Kluyveromyces lactis: one gene and its partner. The protein of the gene in region 2 purifies or fractionates together with the protein of the main gene of each other region. This does not show direct contact. Links are inferred from orthologs where the notes say so. Each region holds a gene or a part of one and is shown on either strand. Other genes may lie near its edges.

The links.
Region 1: the proteins of MCM2 (region 2) and POB3 purify together in Saccharomyces cerevisiae (affinity purification with mass spectrometry; 3 studies listed by BioGRID, with this or other methods). This does not show direct contact. The link is inferred for Kluyveromyces lactis from reciprocal best matches to the Saccharomyces cerevisiae genes MCM2 and POB3.

What each region holds. Positions count from the first base shown.
Region 1 is NC_006038.1:443,507-449,610, reverse strand, and holds POB3 (FACT complex subunit POB3), read right to left. Parts: upstream 3,480-6,104; coding exon 1,812-3,479; downstream 1-1,811. Other genes in the region: GMC2 (Gmc2p), read left to right, coding at 1-141; DAK1 (dihydroxyacetone kinase), read right to left, coding at 3,922-5,679; KLLA0_B04862g (BAR and SH3 domain-containing protein), read right to left, coding at 6,020-6,104. UniProt on the Saccharomyces cerevisiae protein: Component of the FACT complex, a general chromatin factor that acts to reorganize nucleosomes. The FACT complex is involved in multiple processes that require DNA as a template such as mRNA elongation, DNA replication and DNA repair.
Region 2 is NC_006042.1:1,165,538-1,171,266, forward strand, and holds MCM2 (MCM DNA helicase complex subunit MCM2), read right to left. Parts: upstream 2,807-5,729; coding exon 173-2,806; downstream 1-172. Other genes in the region: KLLA0_F12606g (uncharacterized protein), read left to right, coding at 3,543-4,622; KLLA0_F12628g (NAD-dependent succinate-semialdehyde dehydrogenase), read right to left, coding at 4,859-5,729. UniProt on the Saccharomyces cerevisiae protein: Acts as a component of the MCM2-7 complex (MCM complex) which is the putative replicative helicase essential for 'once per cell cycle' DNA replication initiation and elongation in eukaryotic cells.

The DNA of each region.
Region 1 (6,104 bases), on a different chromosome or scaffold from region 2:
TCACATAGAGGTGCCACGAGAATAGCCAATGCTGAAATGTGGATGAAATCTAAAGAAGCATACTTACAATACACAAGAAAAGAACTCGATACTTCGGCAAAAGTCATTAAAACCACCATAGAAGATCTTTCCAAGAGATGAAAGTCATTATTTTGCTACCCTTTGTTGTCTGTCCCAACGCATTCGATCAATAATCATCAGCGCCAGGCATACCTTCAAAAATCTGACCATACATTCGGAATCTCGATCCACAAAATGAGATTACGAATCATCCGGGTTCAAGGCAATAACACAGAAGAAACGAAACGGCATCATGCAGACATAACAACTCATCTTGTTACATCCTTCCAATTTTTATACGATTGTTTCATATTTCGGACATTACTGCATATTCAAGTCCTTTTCCGGCAGGACTAATTCCAACATTTGTTTCGCTAAATACGCATCTACTTCAAATTCCATTGTTCTTCAGCAGAATTTCATTATTTCGAGCCGCTTTTTTGTTCTAGAGGCACAGTTTCATCTGCATATTCTTCCAAAAATGCTACCGTTATCGCCTTTGGTATTCCACATTGGTTGTGTTTGCCGTGCCATGCGTGCAAACAATTAGAACAAAACACTATATCATACGCCTTACAGCGTACAATGTTTCATCCAACGTATCATTAACACACCGAGCATCTCACCTAGAATATATATCACATGAATAAGGATTGTACTGGTATATTTCAACAAGGCACCTGGCTTGTGCAACGTTCCGTAGCTAATAATGTCAGCATCAGTTAATATAATCCTTCGAAGAAACCGTAGGGAAGAGCGGGAGCAAACAATGCATCTTCCAAACTATCAAATTTATCAAAAGCACTAAGGTCGATAGGATTATATGAGCATTCAGGACATCATACATTTTCAATTCTTTCCTCATCAATCATAGTATGATAAAATTCCTTCAGGCTTTCTCCACACAACAAGGCTTAGTACAGGGAAGTTTTACCATTTTAGAACCTTTTCTCTATTCAATACAAATGCAACAGTTGAAGTTCGGTCATTTCATACAACGAGATCCCTGCTCACCTTTGATGTTCAGAGAAGTATCTCACTGGTTAGCATCATGACTGGTATAGATGTTTTCTTCGCTGGTCAAAGTCGAAAGAGCAGCATGTGACAACTATCAGGAATAATTTAAACCAATGGAATTTTGTCTTCAACACACGTTTTACCAAACTCGCTTGCCATGTATTTATCTATATTTGTCATGTCATCCTGAGTCATTCATGCTGAGTTCAAAGTCAATTCCGACCCTTCATTGTCGTTTAGCTATGAATCTTTTCTTATAGTGAAAAAGAAACTATTCCCGGACAATTCGTCAACTCCAGGAATCTCTATGATATATTCTATAGTTAAGGTACCGTCTGTAGCTATCATACTAATATCTAATATACCTCGAATGTATGAAGCGAGTTATCTTGGATCAAAATTTCTTTGTGCATTCATTTCATCATTCTAGTTCTTGATTTAAGGATCTTTCACCAGAAGTCATAGAATAACTCTTACAGAACCATTAAATGATTGAAGCATGAAAAAAGCAGTCGATACTTTTACGGGCTTAGCAAAATTATCCTTCTCTCAACCCTTTGAAGTTTAGTTCTCTGGATGGGACCCTTATTCTTTTGTCAAGCCATTTAGATGTACTAAAAATTAAAGAACTAGTCAATCAAACAAAAGAAAGACACATTATTCGACAAATACCGCGAGGAGTGTATATAGTTTTTTATTTATTTATTTGTACTAATACATGATATATGAGTTTTTCATTCCAACTTGGCTTTCTTGGAAGGTCTTTCAGACTTTGAGGTTTCACCTTCTGAATCGGAGGCGGATGCTTCTGAATCAAATTCTTCAGCGACATCGTCATCTTCGTCGGACGCATGGAAATCTTCATCTACAGATTCTTCATCCTCACCTGCAGAACCCATGTTAATATCTACATCATCATCATCGCTGTCTGAGCCGAAGGCAGTCTGCAGTCTCTGTTCTGCTTCCTTATCTTCGTTCTTTACCCTCAAGTTTTTGGACCTCAAGAATGTCTCTAGAAGTTGTTGTTCCTCTTTAGAAATATTAGCAAAAGTAGTAGTACCTCTATTGGCACGCATAACAACTTCCAAATCGAATGTTCTGGCTGATGTAGATGTCTGACCAGCTCTTGAAATATTGACCGCAGCAATATCTTGGAAGGGTATATATAGGGTTGGTTTCGTCAAGAACAAAAACGCATTGTCCAATGGGTATAAGTGGCCTTCATTGACTTTGTATGAACAGGATACCGCGCATTGGTCATACTTAGACTTGTATTCACCAGGAACAATGACTCTTCTTCCTGTCAAACCCTTTAAGACATGACTTAGTACAATGTGAGTTTTAGCATCGTATTGTTTCTTTAGTTTATCCTTGTAAAGCTTTTCGAACTCATCATCTTCCACATTTAGTTGGACTTCTGTTTCCTCGTCCTTCTGGAATTGTAACACCAAGAATGGGTAGGATGTCTGACCTTGACGGATTGGTGGATCAATCGATAAAACCATCAAGTAATGGATGTCGTCAGCTTTTGGCAAAGAGAAGATTCTGTTTATTTGACGATGTTGTAACTTGTACTCATAAGTCTTACCTCTAAGTCTGATAGAGTTTTTGTAGATATCAATGTCGTAACGGCCTCTTGGCGTAGTGAAGAACAGATCCTGGAAAGAAATGATGGCATCACCAGAAATTTCACCGATATCTGCCTTAGATCTCAATTCTTCGTAGAAATATTCTGCTAAAGTCTTCTCTTCTTGAACGTCTGGTTCTTCACTACCCTCTTCCGTCTTAACCTCCGACTTAACACCGTCTTCTGCTTCTGCTTCGTCCTTTACCATGATTTGATCTTGATCTTCATTTTCTTCAACTGTGCCTGGAACATATAACCTCATTTCAACAAGTTCATCACCTGCAGGATTATATGCCTCATTTTGGGTGTCAAATTCTAATGCAATCTCATTTTTTGCTGTTAAATTAGTGTTATTGATGTGCGTGTAAGGGATTTCAAAAGTTGGCTTACCGTTCAATGAAAAAACCATTTCGTTTCTAGCTAAGTCCAATTTACCCCAATTCCAACCACGTAAAGAATGTTCCCTGTGCTCTAATTGCATGTTGAATCTACGTTGGAAGTCATTCTTCAATAGGTTGAAATCCTCTTGTTGGAACCCATCCATTTGAATCAATCCCTTATTCTTAGTACTAATTTTCAATTCGTAGCCTCTACATCCTCTACTCCATTGAACGGAAGAAACCTCATCTGCAGCCAATAGCAAAGGTTCATTATTTTGAGTAGAGGCTGACCCACCTGTAGCGGATGCCTTCCAACCAAGACCTCCTTCAGCTAGACGGAAACGTCCACCGAGCTTGGATTGGTTGTAATAAATTCTATCGAAATCTGTACTCATTCTCCACTATCCCAATATAAGAAATAAAAAGTAGGTATCCAAGACGAAGATCACTAGATTTCAGTAATACTGACCTGTCTAACGTAAACTATGGGCTAACAACTCTGCCTACCGTTAACGGTTTCATATGTCTTCTTATTTGTTCATGTTTTAACAACATCTTAAACACTTTGGCGATTTTTCATTTTCATTTCTAGTAAAGTTTCCAATTCGCGTCACGTTGACAAGAGGTAAGATGGGGGAGTGAACGGAAAAGAGACAGTTTTTACACACGAAGAACTATCAGGTCGAGGCCCACCCCCCTGTTGCCGGAGGAACAATGTATGATACTGCAATTACCGCTAGGTCATAAATTTGGTTAATGTAGGAAGCTGTATATAGTTTGTTATAAAATAATAACTAGGTGGAAAGAATAAAGGAGGCAGCTCATTTGAAAATGAATCTACAATTTGGAATCAACACCCCTGAGGAATTCGACCAAACCGATAGCTCCTGGGTCCGGAATTGCTTCAGTGTCTTCCACGTAAGATGCACGGCCGAACTTGGCTTCTAAGTTTCCTGTAGATTCTGCACCTCCTTCCGCCTTGGAAAAGGCCTTATGGAAGTCCTGAGTTGAACTAAACTCTTTCACGAATGGCTCCAAGGCATCGATCATAGTAGAATCACCTGGCCTAGCTCTAGTATATTTACACAATGTCTCGTATGCAACTTCTAGCGATTTGGCGAAGGCTTCTTTGTCCACCGCATCATTTTCTCCGCATTGTTCAATAATTCCTTTTGAAAGGCCCGAAATGAATATAGAGTACAAACCACCGGATGTACCACCCATTGCGGATTCAATATGATCAGAAATTTCTGCAAGGGTCTGAGACAAATACTTGGAGGATATTTTATCCAAGTTTTCAGTGATTGCCTTAGCGCCAGCTACTAACGTATAACCACAGTCACCGTCACCAACTTGGTTATCCAAATGTGTAATATGAGGTTCACTTTTAATCAATTGATCGGCACCTGCCTTCAACAGCTCCGATAATTTCTCGAAGTCGTATGTTCCAGCCTTTTTAACGTCAATAACATCCTCGAGAATACCCTCGTCATATGTAGGAGATTTACCCATTTCGACATCTTTTATTGGCCATGCTGGCGCCTCTGTATGGTCGTTTAATAAGTCAAGCACAGATTTTACTTCGCTGAACTCCTTCTTGATAGCTCCAGATGACTTTGACGCATTGAACAACGTGATACTGAATCCATTTCCATTGAAAGATGTCATTAAAGTTCCGCAAATACTTTGAACTGGAGTAATGTCATAATTCTTTTGTAAAAAAGATTTCGTGATATCAACGATGGCAGTTAAGATGAAGTTAGACACACCACCTAAATTGTTGACAAGGAGAACTACCTCGTCTTTTTTATCAAAAGATACAAAATGTCTGTCTTCATCCTCTGAATCAAGTAACTTGGGTAGCATATATTTCTCAATCAACTGCTCCAAAGGTGGAATGCTGTCCAAGACTTGAACACCTGGTTCATTATGGATACCCATACCGACTTCCATTTGCTTTTCATTTAATTCCGTCTCAAATGGTCTTCCTGGTACCTTACAATGATCTAATGATGAGCCAATCGTAACTAGATTTTCATTGATGACTTGAGCTACCTTGCTGACACCATCGAGACCATACTTGCCTGAATACTTCTCAGCAAATGCACCGACAATTTTATGAACCAAGGTAGTTCCTGCTAGAGCTCTTCTACCGACTAACCCACCTTTGTTACGACCAACAGCAACGTCATCTCCAATAACAGCAACAGAGCAATTAATTCCAAGGGCTCTGGCCCTTTCAGCAGCCAAACCGAAATGTAATACATCGCCCGTATAGTTCTTAACAATTAATAGAACTCCGTTACTGTTCTTCGAAACAATTTTAATAGCATTTAAGATCTGTTTGGTTGATGGAGATGCAAAGATATCACCACATACAGCAGCACTCAAACATCCTTTACCGACAAAACCAGCATGGGTAGGCTCGTGACCGCAACCGCCACCAGAAATTAAAGCTACCTTGTCTTTTTCGGTGTTTCGGAAGATGATCTTCTCTTTCAAGATCAACTCAACATTGGGATTAGTGTCTGCAAAACCTTTCAAGCTAGCAGTTAATGGATCGGAAAGTTCAAAGGATTTGATTTCGACAGACATTTTTACACCGGATTATAATATCTTGGAGTTTGATATTCTTCTTATGATTCACAGAAAAACACTTTCTTACCTATCAGGTACTACACTCTAATTCAATGATGGTGAGGATTTGTATAAACTATTCACGAACTGTCTGTTTATATACTTCAGGAATGTGCAAAAGGAACCTACTGATCAAATGCCATCTATTTATTCCCTTAAAACTTAACAAACGTCACAGTCACATGATCACACACTAAATTCTAATAGATATGCGGTGCTAATACAAACATTTTGCTATTGAGGTAGAAACAAATTTACGATAATGTAGAGGTTTCCGGATGAAGGTATATCCGGTTACTCAAATATGTTCCATTGTAGTGCATTGTACTGGAAAGTAGCCGATTTTATTGGTACGTAGTGATTGTCCGTACCACCAGACTTCG
Region 2 (5,729 bases):
TTCCTTTGAAGGTTGAAGTAATCATTATTTAAGTCTATTAGTTACAAATTTGTATATTATGCTAATATAAGCGATGTAGTACTGCATCTATAATGGAAAAAATGGGAACGGTATATTGTTGTTCTGAGCTTATAGAATTGTTTTCTTCCGTTGGAAATGTTGAATCTTGATTTCACATTGTTCCCATAGTATAAACAGCGAAAGATCTTTGTAGTTGGCGACGTACACTAATCTTTTGTGCACCCACAAAACTGTCCACTGTTACTTTAATTGCTCTGTCTAAATCCCATGAGGAAACGAATTCTGATAATCTCATTTTCGCGAAGGCTTCAGCAATTCTTAAGATAGATTCCAAATGACGAACGGTGATCGGGAATGAACCAGTAGTGACACTCTCTCGTCTCAAATCAGCATAAACCCTACTCACTTTGTCCATATCCATTTGATGTAACTTAGGGTAAACTTTAGTTCTTGCGTAATGAATATACTTCATTAGCATATGCTGAGATATGGGCGAAATTTCTTCTTCTCTTTTACGAAGGTTCTGCAAGCGTCTTTGTTTGGCAGATAACGGAGTTTCTTCATCACCCTCCCCATTAGGATTTTCCGTTGGAACGTTACCATCATCAAAATCATCCAGATCCTTGTCTGGATGAGACCTGATATGTGAATCAACGACGAAAGATGCTAGCCGATTATCACTTTCTTCATCAACCAAATCTCTTACCACGCAGAGGATATCGAATCTTGACAAAATTGGTTCAGTCAAATTGACATTTTGTGATAACGGAAGAGTAGAGTTGTAACGACCACCGATCGGGTTGGCGGCAGCTAAAATAGAGCATCTGGCTTGTAACGTGGTAACGATACCTGCCTTAGAGATGGATATACTTTGCTGTTCCATTGCTTCGTGAATAGAAGTACGATCCTGATCGTTCATCTTATCGAATTCATCAATCAAACAAACACCCTTATCCGCAAGCACTAACGCACCACCTTCAAGAGTCCACTCTTTAGTTATTTGGTCCTTCCTGACAGAAGCTGTCAAACCGACTGCAGAAGCACCTTGACCTGTAGCGAAGACAGCTCTGTTGGCAGTTTTTTCCACGTATTTCAAAATTTGGGACTTGGCAGTACCTGGATCACCGAGAAGTAGAATGTTTATGTCACCACGGATGGAATGCTTACCGTTAATGTTTTTAGGAACACCTCCGAATAAAGAACATGCAATTGCTGTCTTGATATCCCTGTGCCCATAAATAGATGGAGCCATTGATGAAATGATTTTATCGATGATTCCTCTGTCACGAGACATCTTTCTGAATTCACGCTCTTCGTCTTCTGTCCAACTGAAGGCATCCAGCCCTTCGTGTTCATCACCATCATGCAATCCGCCTTCTCTTCTCTTCACTGAATTGGCTTCCAGTACTGTTGCGAAAACGGGGAACCCGTTCTTTGCATTCAAATTACCGTCATATGTGTTCTTATAGATTCCTGTCACTTCGACTTCTTCACCAGGTTTTGCGATATCAACCAAGTCCCACAACAAAATGACTTCTCTGTGACGTGGTAATCTACCGGCTGGAACAGACCCTGGTGATTCTTGGATGGTGATTCTTTGGTAATTACGGTACAGAGTTTTTTCCATATTAATTCTGAAGGGACCCTTAGATCTACAATTTGTGCAGAACGAGATTTTAATTTCTTCATTTGAATCCTGATAGTAAGGCCCAAGTGTGGCACCACATTTCAAACAGTTGAATTTAACGTATTTAAGTTGTGGGAAGACACCAGTTCTTCTTGTCACGACACCACTAACTCTAACTAAAGAATTCAAATGAGTTTCACGTAAAGCACGTAAGTTCAATATACTAGGGAAATCCGAGATTCTTACGTGAATTTCCGAGTGAATACGAGTATAATCGGGATAGTGTAGTTGTGTAGCTTCCATAGCCACTGTATCAAATATTTTCAACATTTCTTCGGGAGATTTGGCTAAAAATAGGGCTAGAATGGCCTTGGATTCTACCAAATGTCTATAATTAACTTCCAAGGATTCAGAGTTCATTTCACCGAGAGTTCTGATACGAGCACCGTAAACGGATTTACCTGACTCATCAGTATATTCAAGCAAAAACGATTTCAACTCTCTGGCAATAGTACGTGATACATTCGGTTGAGTGATCCATTCAGAATAACTTGATGCCTTCACATCTGCCAAAGATTCCAACGAGAGCTCATCTGCCAACGGATCTATATCCATATCTGATAACAAATCATCATCTGCTTCTTCGTATTGACGTCTTCTACGTCTCCTCTGTACTGGAAGACCCATAGCATCCAAATTATGCGCACCAGCTCCTTCGCCATCATCATCATCAAGGTATGCTGTGTTCCTATGCACCAAACGATCTCTCTCGTTCAATTGTGCATCGATTCTTCTACGCTCAGCGAGCGACAACTCTTGCTGCTCCTGGTCGTCGACTCCTCTTCTTTCATACGTATCATGTTCTGTGTTTGAAGCGTAATCACGGTACATATCATCACCCATCAAATCGACTTCATTCATTCTTTCTTCCACATCTTCAAGATCCTCTTGAACATTGACAGCTTCATCTCCATCGTTATCTGGATTCTCAAAATCTATCTCATCTGGAGATCCAAGCGGGTCTTCAAACTGTGGAGAACTAGGGATGTTAGCGCCACCTTCACGGGGTTGTGTAGACAAAGAATCATCCTCATCCTCATCATCATCAGCTCTTCTTCTTCTCCTCCTTCCGTTATTTATTTCATCATTATCAGACATCTTGAAACACTTTCAAAAACAGCAATTAATAATCTTCAATTATCGCACTACCAAATCCGATCACACAATTGTCTTCCTGATGCTTCGATGACCTACTTGTTACACTTTGTTTCAGACCATTGGGATCTAAAGCTATCTTAAGATCTTAACGTTTTTTCCGGCTTTTTTCTTCAGTTGAATGTACGAAAATGATCTTTAATTGAAACAATAACATTTCCTAAAATGGTGTTTTGCAACGATCTGACCATTGTAGAGCGTTGGGGCTAATAATACAGCAATGGCAATATTCCAATAACACCAATCGGTAGTTCTCACCTCTTTTAGCTTTGCAATCTACATTTGATTAGTATAATTTCTTTATTATGATGCGTGGATCACGTGATAATCACATGGGATCATACGCTTAAAAACCGTACTTATAGCTCCAATCACACGATGAAGCAACACAATTGCAGGTAAAGTATGGATGTTGAAGCTCTGGAATGATGTGATGCATTTTGTGCCCCATATTAGATCGATTTCCATCCGGTAACCGTCCAAATGTGTCGATATTGACGTAAAATCATACGGAATATTGATTCATCGACATGGAAAATCTCTTACTATCAATGAAATATCCCCAAATTTAAACATAAGGAACACGTCAAGTTAAAGGCAAAAAGGGTACCTTCATTCACGCATTTCTTACTACAAGGTGAGTTCTGGCACTTAAAGATAGTCTTGTTGGTGTTAGGGAATGAGCGAGATTAGCGTTAAAGAATATGTGAAGCGACAGGAGGAACTGGAAGATGAAGCAAATAAACTGATGCCATATGATCCAAGCCATTGCACTTATTCCATGGGCCCAATTCGACAGCCAATATTCGCATGTCGTACTTGCAACAGTATAGGAGTGTGCTATTCATGCTCTATTCAGTGTCACAGTACCTGTGACTTGGTGGAACTTTTCGATAAGAGGAATTTCAGTTGCGATTGCGGTACAGAAAGGCAGTTTGAACACGGTGAGAAGTTCACACCTTGTAATATAAGAAAGAATACTACACCAGATATACCAGACATGAGTAACAGGTATGGCCAGAATTTCAAAGGGTTATTTTGCTCTTGCCATAGAGAGTATGACCCGAATACAACGACAACGATGTTACAATGCGTCCTTGGCTTGGAGTGCAATGAGGACTGGTTTCATGATCACTGCATTCTAGGGATAGAAGAAAACCCAGACCCGGTTACAGAAGACAGAAAGCTACCAGGATTCCCTGAACTGTCAAGTTTCGAAGGATTTATCTCATGGGTTTGTATTGACAAGTACAGCTCGATATTTGAAAAGCTTTTATCACACGAAGCGTGTGATAAAATCATAGCACATAAAGTGTACAGGAGAGATCTGGTATCGGATCAGAACTCCGAGGGAATGACATTGGAAAGTACCAAGAAAAGAGGGCTAGAAGAAATGGAAAACTCTTCGGGTTCATATTCATTATTCTTGAAAGAAGGATATAGGGAAGAATTTAAACGATTAAGGGATTCACTTCCAGAAGGTGACTCCTTGAAAAGCTTTTTCATGCACACAGCACCATTCCTCACTTGTGAAGAGAAAGTTTATGAACCCCCGGAGGAACAAGAGCAAGGATCTCTTGTAGAAATGGGAGAAACGGCCCTAGCTCAAAACTTGTCTCATCAGCAAACTCTAGCCAGTCTAGTCGCTTTCCAGCAAATAAAATCAAAACTAACAGATTTCCTACGACCATTTGCGGAAAACGATAAGGTCGTTAGTGAATCTGATATCAAGCAGTTTTTTGATACTCAGAAAAAATGAACTCTTGTTACGACATTTAATCATCATAAACTTTAAATGTGGATATGTTATATACATTGCTACATTTAGAAGAATTTATTGTCAATAAGAGGGATATCTCGAGCTTCTACTCTAAACTTTTCATTTACACATGTATGTATTCAAAAAGGTGTTAGTTTTATATAACATATGAGATAACTTGCATATCCGAATAGACTTCATTTTAGTAGATATAAGAGTTTTTCAAAGTGAATTGTCTATGGTGCCACAATGATGGCCTTCAATTCAGTGTAATCATCGATACCATACTTAGAACCTTCTTTACCTAAACCTGAATTCTTAACACCACCGAAAGGTACTGCAGGTTCACTGATTTCTCCAGTGTTGACACCAACCATACCAACATTTAGTTTCTCTGCGGCATCAAAAATGGTGCTAATATTTTGACTGTAGAAGTAGCCTGCTAAACCGACATCCGTGTCATTAGCACGTTTGATGACTTCATCCACATCCTTAAACTTAATTAATGGAGCAACAGGTCCAAAGATTTCTTCATAAAATATATCCATGGACTCGGTTACATTACCAAGTACTGTTGGTTGGTAGAATAATGGACCTAAAGAACTAGCTCTTGAGCCACCTATCAAGACGTCTGCTCCCTTCGTTTTTGCATCCTGAACTAAAGATGCGACTTTGTCAATGGATTTGTCATGGATCAATGGACCGTGAGTGACACCGTCTTGGAACCCATCGCCTAATTTAAAGGTTTTGTCGATCTTATCAACCAACCTCTTACTGAATTCATCGTAAAGATCTTCATGCACAAAGATTCTGTTTGCACAGATACAAGTTTGTCCGGATTGTCTGAATTTACATCCGATTATTCCATCTAAGGCACGGTCTAAGTCAGCGTCCTTGAAGACGATATATGGTGCATTACCCCCCAATTCCATAGAGAATTTCTTGATATTCTTTCCCTTGCTTGATTGTCCCATTAACAATTGACCGATTTTAGTTGAGCCAGTGAAAGTGATCTTCTTGACCAATTCATGTTCGCAAACGTATTCACCTATTTCACTTGTGTGATTAGTTGGTAAGATATTGCATACACCTGCAGGAAGACCGGCT